5 linked regions of the Macaca fascicularis genome follow. The protein of the gene in region 1 purifies or fractionates together with the protein of each later gene. This does not show direct contact. Links are inferred from orthologs where the notes say so. Each region holds a gene or a part of one and is shown in the gene's direction. Other genes may lie near its edges. The genes, in order: RUNX2, SMAD1, SMAD3, HDAC4 and UBTF.

Region 1 (3,511 bases):
AAAGATTTTTCTTCTTCTTTTTCCCAGACCCCAGGCAGGCACAGTCTTCCCCGCCGTGGTCCTATGACCAGTCTTACCCCTCCTACCTGAGCCAGATGACGTCCCCGTCCATCCACTCTACCACCCCGCTGTCTTCCACACGGGGCACTGGGCTTCCTGCCATCACCGATGTGCCTAGGCGCATTTCAGGTAAAGACCGCGCTTTAACTAAAAATCCATCCCCGCATAGGGGTCGGGGGGAGTGGGATGGGCTGAACCTGTGTCATCCATGCTCACAGTGACTCTCTATTAGAGACATGTGGGCAAGGGAATGACAACTGGCAAATTAAATCTTCTGAATTATGGGGTTATCAAACACTCGAACATTTTAAGTCAAGAGACCAAAAATCTGCCAGAGATGGCATACTTTTAAGATGGTATTTAATGCCGCCCAGTTAGTGTCCTGCTGAATTGTATCCCATTTGGTGGGCACTGTCTCATAACTAGGGCCTTTTCCTGAGGGTCTTATGCCAGGCCTTCCTCTGCTTGTGTTCCTTTCTTTTCCTAACATCTGCCTATAAACCAGATTGATGGCACAGCCCTCCATTCCTAAAGGCTTGTAAGTCCCAGGAGTCCAAGCTAGTCAGTTCCAAGAGAGAGCACCTGCAAACTTAGGATCTTTGTCAGAAACTAGTCATTTGAAGTGCCGTGAGGCCTGGAAGAGTCTTAAAAGGCAATGCGTGGCCTCTGAGTGGCTAACTCAAGAAGGACGCAGCCTTTCTGTGAAGCATCATGCGTGCTGCTGTCACTTGCAGCCCGGCAGCCCAGTGCTCACAATTGTTCCAAAGGCACTACAGAAATGTGTGGCCCATGGGGGAGTGTGTGTGACAAATGACCTGGCTGCCCCTCTATCCTGGAGAATTCATCACAGAGAGCCAGAAAGTGTTCACGAAGACTCCCAACTGACAAGTAGAGAAAAGTTAAAGGCCCTTAGCTGACTGTATGAGTCCCGTGAATAAGAAAAGAAACCTCTTGGTCCACCCTGACATATGAGCTGCAAACATTGTCCCCACTCAATGACGTACATCCACAGAGAGGCACACACCCCATTGGATCCCACGTTTGCCAGATACTCTTCTCAGCGTTCGGGCCCCTGCACCTGTTTGACTCCTGGCCAGGTTAATGCCTTTCTTTCTTTCTCTTTGTGTTTCTGTCTGTTTCTCTCCCTCTCTCATTTTCTGCAAAGCTCGAAGCCGTTACTCACTCCGCTGAGTTGCATCACTGACAAGCTGAAGCTCCACCAGCAGGCTTGCGGGTTTTGATTAGTTCAGACTCCTTTATTTCTTTCAACTTGGGAGGAGGGAAGGCTTTGTTTCTCAAGCAAATAGCAGGAAAGGGCTCTCTGGTCCTAGTGCCTCACATTTTCTGCAGCAGATGGACTCCCATGGGGGTGAGTAGGGAAAGAAGAGGGGTGGAGGGAGAACTGCAAGGTGTTTTGGGAAACCATGTTACCACTTTTCATTGTGACTGCTGTTATCATTTTTACGAATCACACAGTATGTATTGGGTAATTGTATAGAGTGTAGAATTTTAGTTATCATTTCCCTTGCCTGGAATCACCGTCGCCTTTAGGCAAACATTAATTAAAGATAACGGGAAAGGATGAGTAAGGCACAGTGGGGATAACGAAGGCTGATGCGAGATTAAAGGCACAGTGTTGATGGTGTTAAGTTAGTTCTGGTTATTCCTTCTACATTTCATACTGAGAGTCTGTTTTGTTTTACATAGGGCCAAAAGGACACTTTGACAGAATAGACTTATGCAAACTTGCTTCTGTTTGGGGTCTCCTGGGGCTTCCATCTGCCCAACCCACCGTGGCTGAAGCAGATTTTGCTATTTTTTTCTCTAGCAGTACCTAGAGGGAAAAAACCTCAGGGAGTAGTGTTAGCATTAGAGACACTTACCTACAGCAGTTTCCTACTGAGGTATATTCCTGTGAGTTCATCAGGAAAGCCATTGAAAATGACATCGGAAAAATGCTGCATAAACGAGTAGTCATCATTGTTTATCATGTACATGTGTAATGGAAAACAGCCAGATTATTTCAAGTTACTTTACTGAGGGTTACTTCAAACATTTCCACAAAACAGTAGCTTTCCCATTTCACAGAGAAGGAGGCAGGAGCAGAAACTGGTTAATTTTCCAGCCATATATCTATCTTAGGCCAAAGGTAGGAGTGAGCCTCTGGTTTAAACTGGTTTATACTGAGTTTAGTCCAGTTTTTTCCTCCAACCCTTAACATTTCTGGAGTTGTTACTGGTAAAGTAACATGGTGCCAGGGTGGGAGGTTCTGTATAAACAGTAAAGAGAACAGAAAATCCTTCTTGTCAGCATGTAGGTAGGGAAACAGGAAGAAACAACTAGATGTGGACTGTCAGGGAGCTGGAGGAGCACTGACTTACCTGACCTTGCCCTGGGCTGCGGGACTGTGCCTGCACAACCAAGCACTGCCTGGCGGACTCAGGGACCATGTCATTGGAGTGTGCACCATTTCTAATTCCCTGGGAACTAGTCCTGGGCGCCTTCTTGGGGAAGCCTGTCTCATAGGGTCCCAGGTACCAACTTAGACAATGTATAGCTTATGATTCCTCTCAACATCTAAAGCCAGTGTCTAAGTCCATGACCTAGAGGCTCCTACATGTGAGACTTAAGCATGAGGGCTTTTTAAATTTGGAGTTTTTTTTTGTATGTGTGTGCTTTAGTAAATAAAGCCCTTTGGATTGAGTCCATTCTTGTGCCTTTAGTCTTCATAATGCTCTGTGCCAAATAATGCTGTTTCCACGTAACACGGACAGCTAAAAATATTAACCTCTATCCCTGTCTGCAGGCAGTCCCGTGGTCTCTTTTTGAGACGCTTTGCAGAACAGTTTATGTTTTTGTGTGCATTGATCAATTTTCATCTCCATATCTAAAGGGATACACAAAATATTCTCATATGATTTTGGATGAGAAAGAATAAAATTCTTCACTTCACAGTAGGATTGGATGTTCGGACCCAGGTTTGAATCCCAGCTCATACATATATCAGGCAACTTCTTACTTTTCTGAAACTTAGTTTTATTTTTTGTAAAATAGGCATACAATACTCATCTTCAGGGTCGGTGTGAAGATGAAGTGAGATACTTTATATAAAGTGTTTAGAACTGGCCTGGCACATGATATGTGCCAAATAGATTGTAGCTGATATTATGAAGCTAAAATTGTTTTGTAAAAATTGTATATCCATATGTAATTTGCAGGCAAGTCTTGTTAAGTGAGTCAAATTAGATTAGATAAAAATCTAAACTTTTAAAGGGAACTTTTCCTTCACAAAATGGATCACCACAGAACGTATTTAAAACAAAGCCCTTAGATTATCTAAACATTTAAATAAGTTAATACTCACATGGCATTCACAAAGCACTTAATGCAGTACCTAGCACATAGAACTACTCAGATGTTTCCCATTATTATTATTATTCTGTAGATTTAA
Region 2 (3,511 bases), on another chromosome or scaffold:
TAAAAATATTGCTCTGTTACAGTCTTTCTTCTTTTCCTTTAAGACTCTACTTACGTGGTGCTAGACCTTTCACTAGATCCATTATGTCTCCTCAGTTCTTTATTTTTCATTTTTTTCCCTCTCTTTGCATTAGTATGAGCATTTTTTACCAATCTTCCTGCTCACTAATCTTTTATTCTACTGTATCTAGCCTGTTGTTAAGTTCATCCTATTTAAAGTCTCATTAGTTACTATATTTTTCAGTTCTAGAATTTTTATTTCATTCTTCTTTATGGATTCTAGTTCTCTGTTAAAATCTTCAACCTTGTCTTCTCTTTCCTTGACATACAAAGTAGTAATCATTAATACTTTAAAGTCTGTTTCTGGTAACTCCATTACCTGGGTCACCCCTTAGGTCTGTTTCTATTCTGTTTTGTTTTGGTCATTTGGTCCTGTTTTTGGTATGCTTGATAACTTTTGGTTCATTGCCATACACTGTGAATTTAAAATTGTAGTGACTAAGGTTGATGTCTTCCTCTATAGCGAAATTGTTTTTCTTCTGGCAAGCTGTTAGAGAGCAGTACACATCACCTAGACCAAGGCTAGGATTAAGATGACTCTAGGTTGGTTGTAAAGACTGCTCCATTTCATTTTTGCCCTTAGACTGGGGCATATTCCTCCAGGAGACTCCATTGAAAGCCTAGACTATTTACCAGGGTTTCTCCTCAGCAGGCCCTCAACTCCATTTGTTGTTGTGTTGTTATTTTGGGGTTCTTCAGCACTATGAGGCTACTAGAAGCTCTGCTTAGTTTGTAAGCCTCTTAGTTACCTCTTTCTGCTTGGCTCCTAGACCTTTTGCTACTCATAGCATAACTATTGGCAAATCCCTGGAAAGGAAGAGTGGTGACAAATATTCAGCTCACTTCATTGCATTTCCCCTCTCTCCAGGATCTTGGCCCCCTCAAGTCCTGCGTGCCTTGGTTCCTCTTTGATGCCTTTAAAAAGCTGGGCTTTTGTTTGTTTTCTGGCTTGTTTGTTTGGAAGGAGGTTGGTCTGATATGTGCTACTCCAGTTTAGCCAGGGTTTGTACAAAGTTAGCCTCCTTAACCTTTTTCACATTTTATGTTTTCATGTGCTGAAGGGTAAATAGAAAGTTTAAATGAAGCAACTTGGCTGAAGAATTTGGTACAGTATGTGTCCATGTGCTTTATTCCTTTTATGTCAATAAATAGCAAAATTTTTAAAGCAGGAGATGTATTTCCTGTCCTATTTGCGCTGTAACCCATAGACACAGGTTTGTTCACTGAAGAAATACCCTAAAATATTACTACATTTATATAATAGGAATTTTCTTTTAGCATAAGAAATATTTGTAGAACAAACCAAAAAACAGAGATACTAGACTAATTTTTTTTTTTTTACTCCCTGTTGCTTTCAGTTTTTGTTGATTGAGGTGTTTTGAAATATATTTTTAGAGGTTATAAGTGAATCTAAATCTAAAATATTACAATGTCTTTGGAGAACTTGGACTTTTTAACTTTGTTGCTTTTATCCCAGAGCTTTTGTTAGCAGTGGCTTACTTTTTAAACTGCTTCTCAGTTTACTCATCTGAAAAGTGGCAGCAACTGTATTACCTAGCTCAAAGGATTGTGAAAAGCATTAAATGCTATGTATCAGTCTGCTTTGGTTGCCATAATAAAATATCATAGACTGGGTGGCTTAAATAACAGAAATAGATTTTATCTTCATTCTGGAGTCTGGAAAGTCCAAGATCAAGGTTCTGGACAATCCAGGCTCTTGTGAGGGCTCTCTTCCTGGCTTGCAGATGATTGCCTTCTTGCAGTGCCCTCAGTGTGTGGGCATAGAGGCTGGAGGAGGGAGATAGCAATCTTAAGACCACCAATCCTATCAGATTAGGGCCCCACCCTGATGACCTTATTTAACTTTAATTACTTTCTTAGAGGCTCCATCTCTAAATATAGTCATACTGAGAGTTAGGGCTTCCGCATATGAATTTAAGGGGTCACAGTTCGGTGCACAGCATACCGTGTTACATAAAAGCATTTAAAATAGTACCTAGCACATGGTGATTACTTAATAAATTTGGTTGTATGGTAGAGATGATTCTAACCTTTTTTTTTTTTTCTTTTGTAGGTGCTGACTGGGTTACTTTCTTAAACACTAGGAATGGTAATTTCTACTTTTCTGGACTTCAAACTAAGAAATTAAAGAGACTTCTCTGTAAATAAACAGATCTCTTCTGCTGTCCTTTTGCGTTTGAAGACGCCTTTATTTCACCGTATCCAAGGACTATATAACTAGTGCTGTCATTATGAATGTGACAAGTTTATTTTCCTTTACAAGTCCAGCTGTGAAAAGACTTCTTGGGTGGAAACAGGGCGATGAAGAAGAAAAATGGGCAGAGAAAGCTGTTGATGCTTTGGTGAAAAAACTGAAGAAAAAGAAAGGTGCCATGGAGGAACTGGAGAAGGCTTTGAGCTGCCCAGGGCAACCAAGTAACTGTGTCACCATTCCCCGCTCTTTGGATGGCAGGCTGCAAGTCTCCCACCGGAAGGGACTGCCTCATGTCATTTACTGCCGTGTATGGCGCTGGCCCGATCTTCAGAGCCACCATGAACTAAAACCACTGGAATGCTGTGAGTTTCCTTTTGGTTCCAAGCAGAAGGAGGTCTGCATCAATCCCTACCACTATAAGCGAGTAGAAAGCCCTGGTAAGTGAGTTATTTTATGTTGATACAGTTTGTGTGCCCGGTACTGGATTTGTGTTGTTTAGAACATCAAAAGAATCCCTGTCCTTGTTTTTAGTTGTAATTTAAAAATATTCAGGGAAACTGTATGTGTGTGTCTGTGTGTATGTAAGAGAGAAGGCCCTTGAGTGTTTCATACATTTTAACAGCTTAATCATCTCTAGTTAACATTATGTCTTGGGAGCAGGCTATGACAATTGTCATTGCAGTACTAATACCTCTAATTTTTAATAAATTTTCTTTCTAAATTTATTTTTTATGTCTCATATGGTTCTCTGCATTTCTCTAGATAAAATTATCTATGAATTGTATTCTAAGGGAAGAAAATTAGGAAAGAAATACAGTATTGCTGTCTATATGCTTGAAGGAAGTATATCATGAGGATAGTTGCCAGTGACTTAAACCATTTTGAACTGAAGAACAGCACTTTTTATCGTCTCTGTGACTTTTGCTGTGGCATGTTTCCTGTGGTGAATATGAAAGAATTATGTTCTTCTATGGAATTATTTGATACTATTACTTTATAAATATACCTAGTTTTTAACATGTATAGTCTTTTGGAAAGGTACAGTAAAGGATATATTTTAAAATTTGTATGGTTTTGCCCTCAAGTTAGAATCTACATTCTAGACAGTTGGATCATTGGAAAGTGATTAGATAGTCAAGCACTTACATGTCTCATCGTCAGATTGGGACCAATTTCGTTAATGGATTGGCTGTTAATAGTTATTGGGGTACTAAGGCTGTACATTAGAATCACATGG
Region 3 (4,062 bases), on another chromosome or scaffold:
CTTTGTAACTCCCCACCCACTTGAGGGTTTGCAGATAACTTTTTTTTTTTTTTTTTAAACAAAGCGGGGGTGGGGGGTGGGGGATTCCTGCTGTTAAAAACAAACAAAGGGCTTAGACACCGGCTAGTCAACTGCGGGAGGCAGCAGCAAGAGAAAGGCCAAGGGGCCTGGAGTAGCTCCTTAAAGCCGCCGAGGGCCCTGCGGCCAGACGCCCCTGAATTCTTTTGGTGGGGTGAAAAGCCCCGGAGCTCCCCAATGTGCCAGTTGGTTTGTTGTTGTTTTGCTTTTTTTGAATACACAAACTCTCCGAATACTCGTCTTGCCCCACTTTTTTGTGAGTTCATTGCTCTGGAAACAAAACTCTTCCATTTACTGGGAATTATCAAATTTCCGATCTTTCTCTATCAGGAGATCCAGCAACACCGTGTTATGTAAATTTCTTCCAAAGATAAATTCGAAAGCACCTCCATTCATTCCTTCAAGAACTCAACAGATGTCCTTGAGGCTCATTTTCTGCCGGGCACTCAGTTCAGAAGGCTCAAAGGATCCCTGGCTCCAGCCATTGTCCAGGTTGTCACTGGTGTCCCCAGCTCTCCATTTCTGAGGACCCACTTCTCCCCCCCCCACACCCTCCTCCGCACACTTTCCCAAGGCTCTCGGCCGGTGTGATCTCACCAACGAGAGAATAAAAACAGCCCAGGGGCGCGGGCGCGGGCGCGGGCGCCGGCCAAGAGCCTTGACGGGGATCAGCCAGCGCGAGGCCAAGTGCGGGCCCCAACTTCCTGGGCCCGGGCCTTCCGCGCGCCCCCTCTCGGGCTCGGGTCCTCTCCAGGGTTCACTCCCGTCCGGACGGCGCTTACTTGCTGCGAGTCCAACCCTCTCCGGCCCGCAACTCCAACCGAGCCGCACAAGTGTGGACTCCGAGAGCGGACGCCTCGGGCCGCGCTCAGCCCTCCCGCCCGAGGCCCCTCTCGCCGCGCGTTTCCCAGGACTTCCTCCCCGCGCCCGCCCGACTTCAGGTCGGGGCCGCGCGGGGTCCCGCGCGCTCCAGCCAGGACTGCCGCCGCCCGCGTTGCCCACGTGGGCGTGCTGGGCACGGGGTGGTGGCCGGCCGGCCAGCCGGCCGGCCGCCCTCCCCGGAGCAGGGGGCGGGCAGGGCGCCCGCGGGAGGAGGTGGCGGGGCGCAGGGGAGGAGGCGGAGAGCCCCGGCGGCGAGGGGGCGGTGACAGCGCTTGGAAAGGAGGCTGCACGCGGATTTGCATGAAACACAGACTGGGAGCGGGCGGGAGCGGGAGCGCGGCGCACGCCCCGGGCCGGCCCAGCCAGCGAGCGAGCTAGCGGCGAGCCGGGAGGAGGAGGGTGGCGAGGCGGCGAGGCAGCAGAGGCGGAGGGATCTGCGCATCAAAGCTAGCAAGGCGAGCGAAGTTTGGCCGGGGGTTGGACTTTCCTTCCCGGAGGCGGCACCCAAACAGCTACCCCGTGCGGAAACCCAAACTTCTGCTGCCACTTGGAGTCTCGCGGCCGCCGCCTCCGCCCCGCGTTCGGGGCCTTCCCAACCCGGCACCGCTGCCGTCCGCCCGCCCGGCCGCCCTTCTCTTCGCCGTGGGAGCCGCTCCGGGCGCAGGGCCGCGCGCCGAGCCCCGCAGGCTGCAGCGCCGCGGCCCGGCCCGGCGCCCCAGCAACTTCGCCGAGAGTTGAGGCGAAGTTTGGGCGACCGCGGCAGGCCCCGGCCGAGCTCCCCTCTGCGCCCCCGGCGTTCCGTCGAGCCCAGCCCCGCCGGGGGCGCTCCTCGCCGCCCGCGCGCCCTCCCCAGCCATGTCGTCCATCCTGCCTTTCACTCCCCCGATCGTGAAGCGCCTGCTGGGCTGGAAGAAGGGTGAGCAGAACGGGCAGGAGGAGAAATGGTGCGAGAAGGCGGTCAAGAGCCTGGTCAAGAAACTCAAGAAGACGGGGCAGCTGGACGAGCTGGAGAAGGCCATCACCACGCAGAACGCCAACACCAAGTGCATCACCATCCCCAGGTGGGGGCCCGCCCGGGGGACCCGGGGACACGCCGACCCGGCCCCCTGGCACTGCGGGGCCGACCCATTGGGGTTGAAGATGGGAAGAGGGAGAGAGAGGGAGTGAGACTGTGTGGGTGCGTGTGTGTGAGAGTGGGAGCTAGAGCGCGGGCAGGAAGGGGGTGGGGGGACCCCAAACAAAACCATCTCTGCATTTGCAAAGATCAGAGCCCGAGGCTTCCACACGGCACTCTGGCTTCCAGACCTCACATTCCCTTTCCACCTCCGGGAGGGGAGAGCGGGTTGTTGCGGGACTCGGCCGCCCCCACCCTGGGGAGCTGGGGCTGGAAGTTGAGGCCCGCTTTGTTCGGCTCCGCGGGCCGGAGCCCCTCCTCCGCCGCCGCCGCCTCCCGCCCCCGCGGCCCGCGCTGGTGGAGGTGGTGGTGTCTTTGCGTTTCTTTTCTTCAGTCCGGTCTCCCCACTTTCCTCTACAGGAATGCGGTCCGTACAGCTGGGGCTGTGGGTGAGGAGCGGGAGCCTCGTGATTGACAGATTCCTTCTTCGTTCTTTCTTTGCCTTCGGGATTAGCATTTTTATCGAGTATTTTTAGACTCGGTTGTGCCAGTCTCCCGCCCCCTGAGCACGCACGCACTTTGGTTGCAGTGCAATGCTCTGACTTCCAAATGGGAGAGACAAGTGGCAGAAAATAGGGTCTTCTCCCCCACCTCCCACTCCCCATCCCGACTCTTTTGCCCTCCTTTTGGTCCAAGAGATTTTGAGTCCGTGCAGAATGAGGGAGAGGGGCGGGCTGGAACCGGGCAGATAACAAAACACACCCCAAAGTGGGCCTCGCATCGGCCCTCGCATTCCTGTAGAGCCCTCCTTCCCAAAGCGCGCTGCCATCTGTCTGCATCTCCTTTATCCTTCCTGTTGCGCGCTAGCTAGGTCGGGCGGGAGCCCACAGATGGCTGATAGAAAGGGTCAGTGACTTCTCTCCACTCCCCCAGGGCCTTCCTTAGCTTAGCTGTGCCTGGCTGGGAATTGGGGGTGGGGATACCTTGACTTCCTGTCTCTACCTCTCAGCCTCCTTTGATTCTGAACCGAGGGAGAGAGTGTGTGTGTTGGGGGCTGGCTGTTTTGGGGGTCCCAGGCTGCAGAGGAATGAGTAGAAAGCACCAGGGACTGTAAGCCAAAAAAGGGATTGTCATCCCTGCCCCTGGGCCAGGGTGGACTCCATCCTTGGCCACCTGCTTGGGGCAGTTGTACAAGGGCTGCCAGGCGAGTCAGGCAGGCACAAAGCAACATCTGTCCACGGGAACCCAGGGCAGGCCTCCCCTGGAAATAAATGCCACATATGGTGGGAGTGCAGACTTAAATTTTTTTTTTTTTTTTGACTGGGTGGATCCAGTCAATAAAGGGGGAGGGAAGGCGGTGTGCTGTCTGGGGAAGTCCCTGGCCGTGTGATCGGGAGCCAGAATTGACTTCAGAGGAGGTGGTGTGATGTGATGGTCAGAGAGACCTGGGATTTGGTTCCAGCTCTGGTTCTTAATTCTTCTGTATTCCTTCGGTGGGGGTGGAGAGGGTAGAGTGGGTGAATATGCTACTTCTCTGTCTGGGGAGGGGTCTGTCAAACCTACCTTCCTCTTATCTGCCTGGGTGCATTGAAGACAAGTGCTTTATGCATTGAAACAGGAAAAAAAATGGTATCAATTATAAAACAGGCAGCTGTGAAAAGTGTTTCACGGTTTACAAAGCACTTTCACATGGTTTTCTGAGGTCCTCAAAACAAGATAGAAAGCAAGCAAGCAAGCAACCAGCCCTGGAAAGTAGATAAGGTTGTTAGGCTTAACATTATCACGTTTTTAAAGCAGAGGAAACTTTAAAAGAGAGAGGTGAAAAGGCTTGAGTTGTAGACGTGGGATTCTGACAGAATGTGCTCTTTCTGCTGACCCATGCTGCTTTATACTTTGAAGATCCTGAATACATTCTTTGCTGAATGCTAAAACTGTGTTAGCTTGGGGAGGGCCCTGTGGATGTTTGTATGTGCGGTTGCTTCTTTAAT
Region 4 (4,222 bases), on another chromosome or scaffold:
GTTCAGCCATATCAGAGTAAGCACTTCTCACAATGACCAGAGTTTTCTAATTATTCGTTATTGAGATATTTAAAGAAATGCAAAATTGGCATTTTTATTTTGCTAACTGTATTTTTATCCACACAACTACAGTTTCCCCCCCCCGCCAAGAATCAAAGGTCGAGAATGCTGTAAAAACGGATCCTTGCTCATCTAAGAGGAATGGCCCACAATCGAAGCGAACGCTCATCCCCGCCAGGTCCGCATCCCTGGGCCCACGCCGTCAGGCCCCACGCACCGGCGCGCGCTGTCAAAGGCGCTTCCTCCCTGGAACGCGGGATTCCGGGGACAGTGTGTGCACCCAAGTTTAAAAGTTGTCACACTCTTGTTGGAAAGAAATGGAAACATCACCAGCAGGAGGGTGGCCACTGAAGACTCCCGCCCACACCAGCTGGCAACCAAAGGCGCTTGCGGGGATCTACGGGCCGACCTTTAACTCAACACAAGCCCCCCAAGCTCTGCGGCCTTAAAACAACACCCGCCCGGCCGGTGCGGAGTTCCCACCACCTCCACGCCTGCCTGGCCCGTGACTCGAGACCCTGGCGGCGGGCCGGGCTCCCTCCGCCTGAGCAGGGACCCGACGAGCGCATCCCACGACCCTCAGCAGCAGTTGCAGGCCTGGCAGACCTGCACCCCATGCACACCCAGACAGCCGCGTTCCCGCCGCGGGGCTGGGCGAGGCCCGCGGCGCCTGCGCACTCGGTGACCGGGCCGCCCTGCGCCTCGGTGCGCACGCAGCACCACGTGACCCACTGCCAGTACCCAAGATGGAGGCAACGGCGAGGCCTGGCCAGCTCCCCGCCTCAGCCTGCACCCCATTGTGTGCCCTCTAAGCGCGAATTAGGCTCGCAAACACGCGGTGCTGACCGCTAGGTAGCCATGCGGGCTACCGAGTGGGACTAGACACGGCCGGGGCCCGTGTTTACGGTCACTACTGGCTCCGGGTCTCTGCGCCTCCTCAACCGCGAAGCACCCAGAGGCTGGCGCCTGGAGCGTCTTTTGGTACGCCCCGCCCCCTAGAATTGACAGCTCCAGCAGCCAATGAGGTCCAGGATGCGTGCGGGGAGGCGGGCAGGGGTGGAGCCTCTCCGCCGCTCACGGGGCGTCCGGCCCCGCGGTTGGGCAGCCGCGGGGCGAGGGGTGGGAGCAGACGGGCCGTGCGCAGGTTTCAACGGACCAATGGAAGGCCGGCCAGGCGCCCGGGGCGGGCGGGCGGGAGGCGGGGCCGAGCCGTAATTGACGAGCTCTTCATTAGAAACCAGGCGGGAGGGCGGGGCCCATATGGGGAGGTGACGCAAGGCTGCCGCAGCCAGTGGTTGCCGAGCCGCCGGCGGGCGGGGCGGGGCCGGGTCGGCTGACGGGCGTGCAGGGTGGCCTATCGCCGCCCGGCTCGACGCTGGAGGGGGGAGAAGCATCATGGTTCAACGTGGGTCAATTTTTTGTGAATGAGGAGGGGAGGTTGTGGGGCCGCCGCCGCGGAGCACCGTCCCCGCCGCCGCCCGAGCCCGAGCCCGAACCCGCGCGCCCGCCCGCGCCGCCGCCGCCGCCGCCGCCCGAGCAGCCTCCCAGCCTGGGCCCCCGGCGGCGCCGCGGCCGCGTCCCGGCTGTCGCCGCCCGAGCCCGAGCCCGCGCGCCGGCGGGTGGCGGCGCAGGCTGAGGAGATGCGGCGCGGAGCGCCCGAGCAGGGCTAGAGCCGGCCGCCGCCGCCCGCCGCGGTAAGCGCAGCCCCGGCCCGGCGCCCGCGGGCCATTGTCCGCCGTCCGCCCCGCGCCCCGCGCAGCCTGCAGGCCTCGGAGCCCGCGGCAGGTGGACGCCGCCGGTCCACACCCGCCCCGCGCGCGGCCGTGGGAGGCGGGGGCCAGCGCGGGCCGCGCGCCGTGGGACCCGCCGGTCCCCAGGGCCGCCCGGCCCCTTCTGGACCTTTCCAGCCGCGCCGCGAGGCGGCCTCGCCCGCCGGGGCGGGGGCGCGGGGGTGGGCACGGCAGGCAGCGGCGCCGTCGCCCGGTGCCGGGCCCGCGCCCCCCGAGCAGGTGGGCTCCGGGCCGCCGGGAGTGAGGGCGGGGGCGGGCGGGCGCCGGGGCCGGGCGGGCGCCGTTTATGTAACTTTGTCAAATGCTGTGAGTTTGCAGAAAAACGTCCCTGCCGGGGTCCGCGGCCCCTCGCGTGTCGTCGCCGCTGCGAGCGCCTGGGGGTTCGCGGGAGGCGGGGGTGCTGCCCGGGACCCCCTCGGCTCAGCCCGCAGGGCGCCCGCAGGCCGAGACGGGGCCCGGTCCAGCTCGGGGGTGGGATCCGCGTTTCCCCGCGTTGCGAAAACACACCACGGAATCATAAGCAAATTATCTCGTATTTACATTGAGCGTTGAATTATTTGACACTGTTATAGCAGGAGACCGTGCGTATCAGTTGGAAAGGCCGGGGGTGGAACCCAGTGTACTCATTTAATGCACATCAAAAATTTGTAATAACTTGAGGCAGCTGATATGAGTGTTTTCTTTATTGCATGTTGTAAATTGACCTGCTGTGACACAATTTTCAAATAAAGCGTTGCAGAAATTAAACTTAAGTTATTTTAAAACTAATGACTTTCTTAACTAAATCCTAATTGCATGACTGTAGAGACCTACCTAATTGCTTGCTGAGAGCAGTTCTGCTTGCTCTCCGTGAGGGAGGAAAGGGCCTGTGTAGTCACTTTGCCGCCCCGTTTTTCTCTATTCAGGCTTTTCTGTTTATTCCCACAAATCACCGAAGCAGTTAAGGCCTGGGAGTAAACCTGTAAACAGCCCTGGCCCAGCGCCAGCCCAGCAGGACTGGGGGGATACTGGCAGGTTTGCACCTTGACCTGGTTTCACTTTTTCTTTTGTAATATGATCGTGGTTGCCTGGAGTTTTAATTGCTTCTGATAATTCTGTGCATTATTTTCGGGACTGTCCAAAGAAGGCTGGTGTGGTGGTTTCAGGACCCAGCCAGGAAAGGTGGTGGTGGTGACTGGGGAAAGGGAGGGTGGAAGGGAGGGAGATCGAATTAAGAAAACTCAGCTGCTTGTACACAAATATACACTACAGCAGTTACAAAGCAACAAAAGTTATTGCAGAATTTTGCAGTAACTATGGCAACACAATTACTCTATTATAATTGGAAATGCAGAATGCCACCCAGTTAGAAGTTTCATCAGAATGGAGTTTTGGATATCAAAAATATGTGAAATTTAATTTTTTTTCAGGTAGCTCCTGTGAATTCTAAAATCTGTGTTCAATTACCTATTTTTAAGACTGATCGAGCCTTCCCAGATATTCTACTCTCTGGGATCTGTGGCATCTTTCCCCAGAAGAACTCACATTTGTGTGGGAGGGAAGTATTTTCATGCCTTAAAAACACACACCCCAACACATTGTAAGACTTCTATAGCTTTCTGTGTTCTGGGCTTTTATTTTAGAGATCAAATCCCATCCTAAAGAGAGCAGTAATCAATTAGAAAAGAAGCCGGCTGTACTCAGCAGGCAGAGGCAACGCTGCCCTCTTTAGGGTTCTTTCTTCTGCAAGGGGAGCTGGCAGCAGGCATGCCCCCCGGGGAGCCCTGGGCTAAGGGGCGGGGCAGAGGGAAGATGACTGGACTGCACATAGGCCTGGAAGGCCTGGGGACGAAGGGCAGATGTGGCCTCGGAGTCCTGAACCAGGGACAATGTTCTGTGTTCAGCAGCTTCCTAGCCATGCAAAATAAAAATCCGCAAATGCCATGTTCTCGGAGGCCTTGGGGGCTGTTGCTGTAGCAAGATGGGCAGAACAACCTGGCACACTGGCCACGTGCGGCTCAGGCAGCCCATCTGGACTCTCTGTGGCCAGAGACCTGGTTGGGAAGGATGCTCTATGGATGTTTACCAGGAGGGCTCTAGTGCTGGAAGTTTCCACACATTGTGGGGTTGCTGCATTTAATTTCGTTATAACTCTTTCCTTTTAACTACTGCATATTTATGCCCAGTAATCGACTTCCATTCTCCAGCTTCATTGTGAGGTTTCAATGCAGCATGAATGGCTTTGAATTCCAATCCTTTGATGTTGGGGGTGGCACCAAAGGAAAGGCGACTTTATGCTGTCTTAATTGCCGGAGCAGAAGAAGCATTTCATCACTCCTGTAGAATTCGTCCATACCGTTCTCTATTGAAAACGGCTGGGCTTTCATAGCTCA
Region 5 (4,115 bases), on another chromosome or scaffold:
CCTCAAAGTTAGGGGCCTAGAAGCTGAAATTAATCTACGAGTGGTAAATCCGCCTCTCCTATATGCCAGTGCCCCCAAAAACAAACAAACAAACAAACAAAAACAGGACACACCAGATCTTGACAGGGCTTCCTCCCTGTTTGTGAAACGTGACAGAAGTGGGATCTGGAAGTCCTGGGAAAACAATCTCATTTCTCCCAGGAGACAAGAGGAATTACAGCAGCAAAGAGGCAGGCCGAGTGGAGGAGAAGGCTGCATGCCAGGGGAGAGTCGAAAGGGGCTGGGTGATCCAGCTGGCCGAGATGCGGGAAGTAGAGCCTCGGTGTGGGAGACTGGCAGCCTGAGAGCCAGGAGCAATGGCGCTGCCCCAGAAGCGGTGGCTGGAGGCTGGGCCTGCTGGAAGCAGGCTTCCTTCAGATGGTCTTCTGGCTCCCTGCGTCCTGTCCTGATAACCTTTCCTCTGAAAAGGGGAGGCAAAGACAGACAACCACAGCCATGGTAGTGGGAGGGTGGGTGGTGGACCCCGTCCAGGCCTTTCATCCCCGGCCTGCAGTTTAGTGAACCGGGAGACGTCTCGTCGGAGGCTGCTCCGCTGCCGCCCGGAGCAGCGAGAACCGGGTGCTGGGCTCCCCTCGCGGCTGCCCGCCGCCGCCGGGGGGCAGCGCCTGCGGCCTGCTTTCCCAGGGCCGGCCGAGGCTTTTTGACAAGCTGATTGCGTGGCGGGGATTGGCTGGTCCGGGCGTGACGCCGGTAACAACAAAGGTGGAGTTGGAAGAAATTAGATTAAAGGAGAGAAAAAAAATTAAAGGGGGAGCTGGCAAAAGACAGGAGGTATAGACCGAGGGGGAGATGCGCCAAGTGGTGTCTCCCGGTTCCGACTCCCCCCGCCGCCTCGACCCCAGAAGATCCCTCGCGCAAACCCACTGGGATTTTGCTCTTTCCCCTACCCCCGCCCAGTGACCGACGCCGGGGTAGGAAGGATAGCCGCTTCTTCTTGAAAAATCCCCGCAACTCCCACCCTGACACCCCTCACTACGACCCAGGGGGAGAACTTTTTGCTCGGACTCCTCGGATCCTAAACCCAGCGAAGAGGGGGACATTGATAAGCTCGTCCTTTTAAAACCCGGAAGGCCCTCGCGGAGCATGGAGATCGGATAAGGCGGGGTGCTCCCTCGGTTTTCCGATGTGTTGCAAATCTAAGAGCTTCTTTCTCGCTTTTTTTTTTTTTCCCCTGTAACTACCCCCCCTCCCTTTTGCTTCAGGGTTGCAAAAGCAAAGAGCAATAAAAAAAAAAAAAACCGCGCACACACTCAGACACACACCAGTGGCGACAGGGGAGAGTTGGAAAGACGCAGGAGAGAAGCAGGAGGCAGGAGGCAGCGGGGATGGAGCAATGGGAGCGGGAAGCAGGCAGGTTTCCTTGCAAATCCCCCTCCGGCCTCACGCCGCCTCGCCAGCCCCGGCAGGGGAGCGAGGACCCCGGCGAACAGATGGAGGAGTGGAGCTCGCTCTAGGCAGCTGGGCTTGGCCGGAGAATGGAGGAGCCACCAAGCGACCGGCTGATTGGAAGAGAAACGCAGAGCGATGGAGGCGGGGGTAGGAGGACGATTTCTCTGCGGGGACTGGCGGCGGCGTACACGCCCGGGTCGGGCGCTGCAGAGCTTGGCTGGCTTTCAACCCGCGCTCGCCGGCTCCAGCCCCGCGCGCCCCCACCCCTAGCCCTCCCGGCGGCTCCGCAGGTGAGTGCGAGCTGCGGGCAGAAAGATCCAAAAGTCTCAACACGCCCGCCCTGCAAAAAAGGAAAAAAGAAAAAAAAGGAAGAAAACCATTTTACTTAAAAAAAAATTTTTTTTTTGTGCAACCCCTAAAGCAGTGGGAGGGAAGGGGTGAGGCTGAGCCGCCCGGAGGAGGCGGAGGGGCCAGGCGAGGCCGGGGTGGCCCGGGAGGCGGCGGCGCCGAGGCGGCTCTGACGGGCAAGCGCTCGGAGCGGCGCTGCGCTGCGCCGAGGCGGGCGGGCGGGCGGGCGGAGCGGGGCGGGCGGAGCGCGGCGCGTGGGGCTCGCCATTAGCCGTCGCTCCGCTTCGCCATCTCGGGCTTTGTCTGGCGACTCGCTGCCCCGGCGTCGGCTGCAGCGGAGCTGCGGCTCGGCTGTTCCGCCCGCCGTGCTCCCAGGTGCCCCCGGCCTGCGCTCCCATCCACACGCTCGGTAAGTGAGCCCGGGCGCCGCGGATTTCGGGGGAGAGGGGTTGCTACGAGTGGCGGCGGCACCGATCTCCATGCGCCCGGGCAGGCCTGGGAGCCATGCCGGGCTGGATTGAACCGGCTCCCACAGCGGCCCCTCCGCCGGAGCCCGTCGTTCCCTCGCCGTTTCCGGGGTGTAAAGAGCAACGGGGATTTTTTTTTAATGCAGAGATTTTCGGTTTTGGGTTTTTTTAAAGTTTCCTATGTACCGTTCGGCAATGAGAGGATCGCGAGGTAGGCGCCGAAGCTGGACGCCGCGATCGGCGTGCGTGCGCCCCAAACCAGTGGCCACGCTCCGGGGGATGAGGGTGGGCGCGGACCGCTCGCTCCGGGAGGCGGGAGAGAGCTGGCCTGGAAGCCCCAGTCTGAGCTGGGAGGACTTGGGGGAGAGCTCCGGAGCAGGGCTGTGGGCGCCCCCCAAGCCTTCCTGGCCGCCGGGGGCCCCTCCGGGCACCCTCTCCGCGGCCGCGCCTCGGCCCTCCCTCCCGCGCCGGCAAAGCCTGCTAGTTCCCCCGCGGGTCTGGCGAGGTCGCTCTCGGCGCCCGCCCGCCCGCCCGCCCCGGCTCCGAGCCCCGCCGCCATCCGGGCGGCTGCGTGTCTCCCTGCCCCGGCCCCCCCCTTCCCCGGCGGCGGCGGCGGCGGCGGCAGCAGCAGCAGCAGCAGCCGCCGCCGCCACCAGCACCACCACCACCCCCCTCCCCTCCTTCCTTCCCTCCGCCTCGGCCGCCCGGGTCCCCCCAGCTCCCGCCCCTCCTCCCAGCTGCCCCCCGCGGAGCCCGCCCGGGCAGGCTGTGGGAGGGAGCGGAGCCGGCGAGGCGGGCGGGCTGGCGCTCGCTCCCCGGGGGTCGGTGTGCGCTCTACGGGGAAGGACGCGCTCGCTGCCCCGCTTCTCCCGCCCCCCCTCCCGCTCCTCCTCCTCCCTTCTCCCTCCTCCTCCCCGCTCCGGCGGCTGAGGCTGCGGCGGCGGCGGGGGGTGTGCGAGCTGAGGCCGGGGCCGGCGGCGGGCGGGCTGCCTGCAGGCGGAGGGCGCTGTGCTTTGTGCTTTTCGCCGCGAGGAGCAGCAGGCAGCAGCCACAGCCGCCGCCGCCGCCGCCACAGCAGCAGCAGCCGCCGCCCCAGCGCCGCCGCCTCGCCCGGAGGAGGAGCCGCTGCCGCCGCGGGAGGGAGCTGCGGCTGTGCCCGGCCGAGCGGGGGAGGGCGCCGCCACTCAGAGCCGGGGAGGGAGCCGCCGGAGCGGGAAGCCCGGAGGCCGCGCTGCGCCGGGTAACCGAGGCGGCTGAGGACGCGCGCTGGGTTCGGGGCCGGACAGCAGGGAGCGAACCGCGGGTTGCGGTGGGCGCCCAGCAGGGACCCGGAGCGACCACCGAGCAGGGGACCGGGCGCGAGCAGACCAGGGCACTTGGGAGGACGCCGAGAGCCGGGGGAGGGGAAGGCAGGAAGCGAGGCCTGAGCCGAGCCACGGCCGCTGGCGGAGGAGCCCGCGCTTCTCGGATCCGGCAGGCGCAGTTCTCCCCGGCCGCCGGAGGGGGCGGCGGGGCCGGTGAGCGCTGCGCCCCCGCCTCCCGGCCGCCGTCCTCCCGCCCTCTCCTTGGCTCGGCTCCCCGGAGGCCGGGGCGGGGGCGCCGGCGGGGCTGGGCCGCAGGCTCGGGGGAGGAGGCGGCGGTTCCCGCCGCGGTCGCGCCTCTGTGCCGGGCTCCTCCGTGCGCGTCGGGGTGGCTGGGTGGTGGCGGCGCCTCTGGCCGGGGTGGGTGGCTCGGGGGCGGGGGGCAGGCTAGGCCGCTTCTCTCCGGCTGCTCGCCCGCCTGTGCGGGCGGGGACGGCGAAGGGAGCCCGGGAGGGGGGAGCGGCGGGAATCCGGATCCGGTCCCCGGGGG

What was found.
Region 2: the proteins of RUNX2 (region 1) and SMAD1 purify together in Homo sapiens (affinity purification with western blotting; 3 studies listed by BioGRID). This does not show direct contact. The link is inferred for Macaca fascicularis from reciprocal best matches to the Homo sapiens genes RUNX2 and SMAD1.
Region 3: the proteins of RUNX2 (region 1) and SMAD3 purify together in Homo sapiens (affinity purification with western blotting; 3 studies listed by BioGRID). This does not show direct contact. The link is inferred for Macaca fascicularis from reciprocal best matches to the Homo sapiens genes RUNX2 and SMAD3.
Region 4: the proteins of RUNX2 (region 1) and HDAC4 purify together in Homo sapiens (affinity purification with western blotting; 3 studies listed by BioGRID). This does not show direct contact. The link is inferred for Macaca fascicularis from reciprocal best matches to the Homo sapiens genes RUNX2 and HDAC4.
Region 5: the proteins of RUNX2 (region 1) and UBTF purify together in Homo sapiens (co-immunoprecipitation; 3 studies listed by BioGRID and IntAct, with this or other methods). This does not show direct contact. The link is inferred for Macaca fascicularis from reciprocal best matches to the Homo sapiens genes RUNX2 and UBTF.

What each region holds. Positions count from the first base shown.
Region 1 is NC_088378.1:126,039,072-126,042,582, reverse strand, and holds part of RUNX2 (runt-related transcription factor 2), read left to right. Parts: intron 1-27; coding exon 28-189; intron 190-1,225; coding exon of another isoform or gene 1,226-1,251; exon of another isoform or gene 1,252-2,766; intron 2,767-3,511. UniProt on the Homo sapiens protein: Transcription factor involved in osteoblastic differentiation and skeletal morphogenesis. Essential for the maturation of osteoblasts and both intramembranous and endochondral ossification.
Region 2 is NC_088379.1:150,399,768-150,403,278, forward strand, and holds part of SMAD1 (mothers against decapentaplegic homolog 1), read left to right. Parts: intron 1-2,133; 5' UTR 2,134-2,311; coding exon 2,312-2,711; intron 2,712-3,511. UniProt on the Homo sapiens protein: Transcriptional modulator that plays a role in various cellular processes, including embryonic development, cell differentiation, and tissue homeostasis.
Region 3 is NC_088381.1:43,772,313-43,776,374, forward strand, and holds the start of SMAD3 (mothers against decapentaplegic homolog 3), read left to right. Parts: upstream 1-1,262; 5' UTR 1,263-1,815; coding exon 1,816-2,021; intron 2,022-4,062. UniProt on the Homo sapiens protein: Receptor-regulated SMAD (R-SMAD) that is an intracellular signal transducer and transcriptional modulator activated by TGF-beta (transforming growth factor) and activin type 1 receptor kinases.
Region 4 is NC_088386.1:135,306,147-135,310,368, reverse strand, and holds the start of HDAC4 (histone deacetylase 4), read left to right. Parts: upstream 1-1,422; 5' UTR 1,423-1,465; exon of another isoform or gene 1,466-2,069; intron 2,070-4,222. UniProt on the Homo sapiens protein: Responsible for the deacetylation of lysine residues on the N-terminal part of the core histones (H2A, H2B, H3 and H4).
Region 5 is NC_088390.1:65,276,759-65,280,873, reverse strand, and holds the start of UBTF (nucleolar transcription factor 1), read left to right. Parts: upstream 1-1,312; 5' UTR 1,313-1,739; intron 1,740-2,091; exon of another isoform or gene 2,092-2,206; intron 2,207-3,027; exon of another isoform or gene 3,028-3,085; intron 3,086-3,450; exon of another isoform or gene 3,451-3,781; intron 3,782-3,844; exon of another isoform or gene 3,845-3,985; intron 3,986-4,115. UniProt on the Homo sapiens protein: Recognizes the ribosomal RNA gene promoter and activates transcription mediated by RNA polymerase I (Pol I) through cooperative interactions with the transcription factor SL1/TIF-IB complex.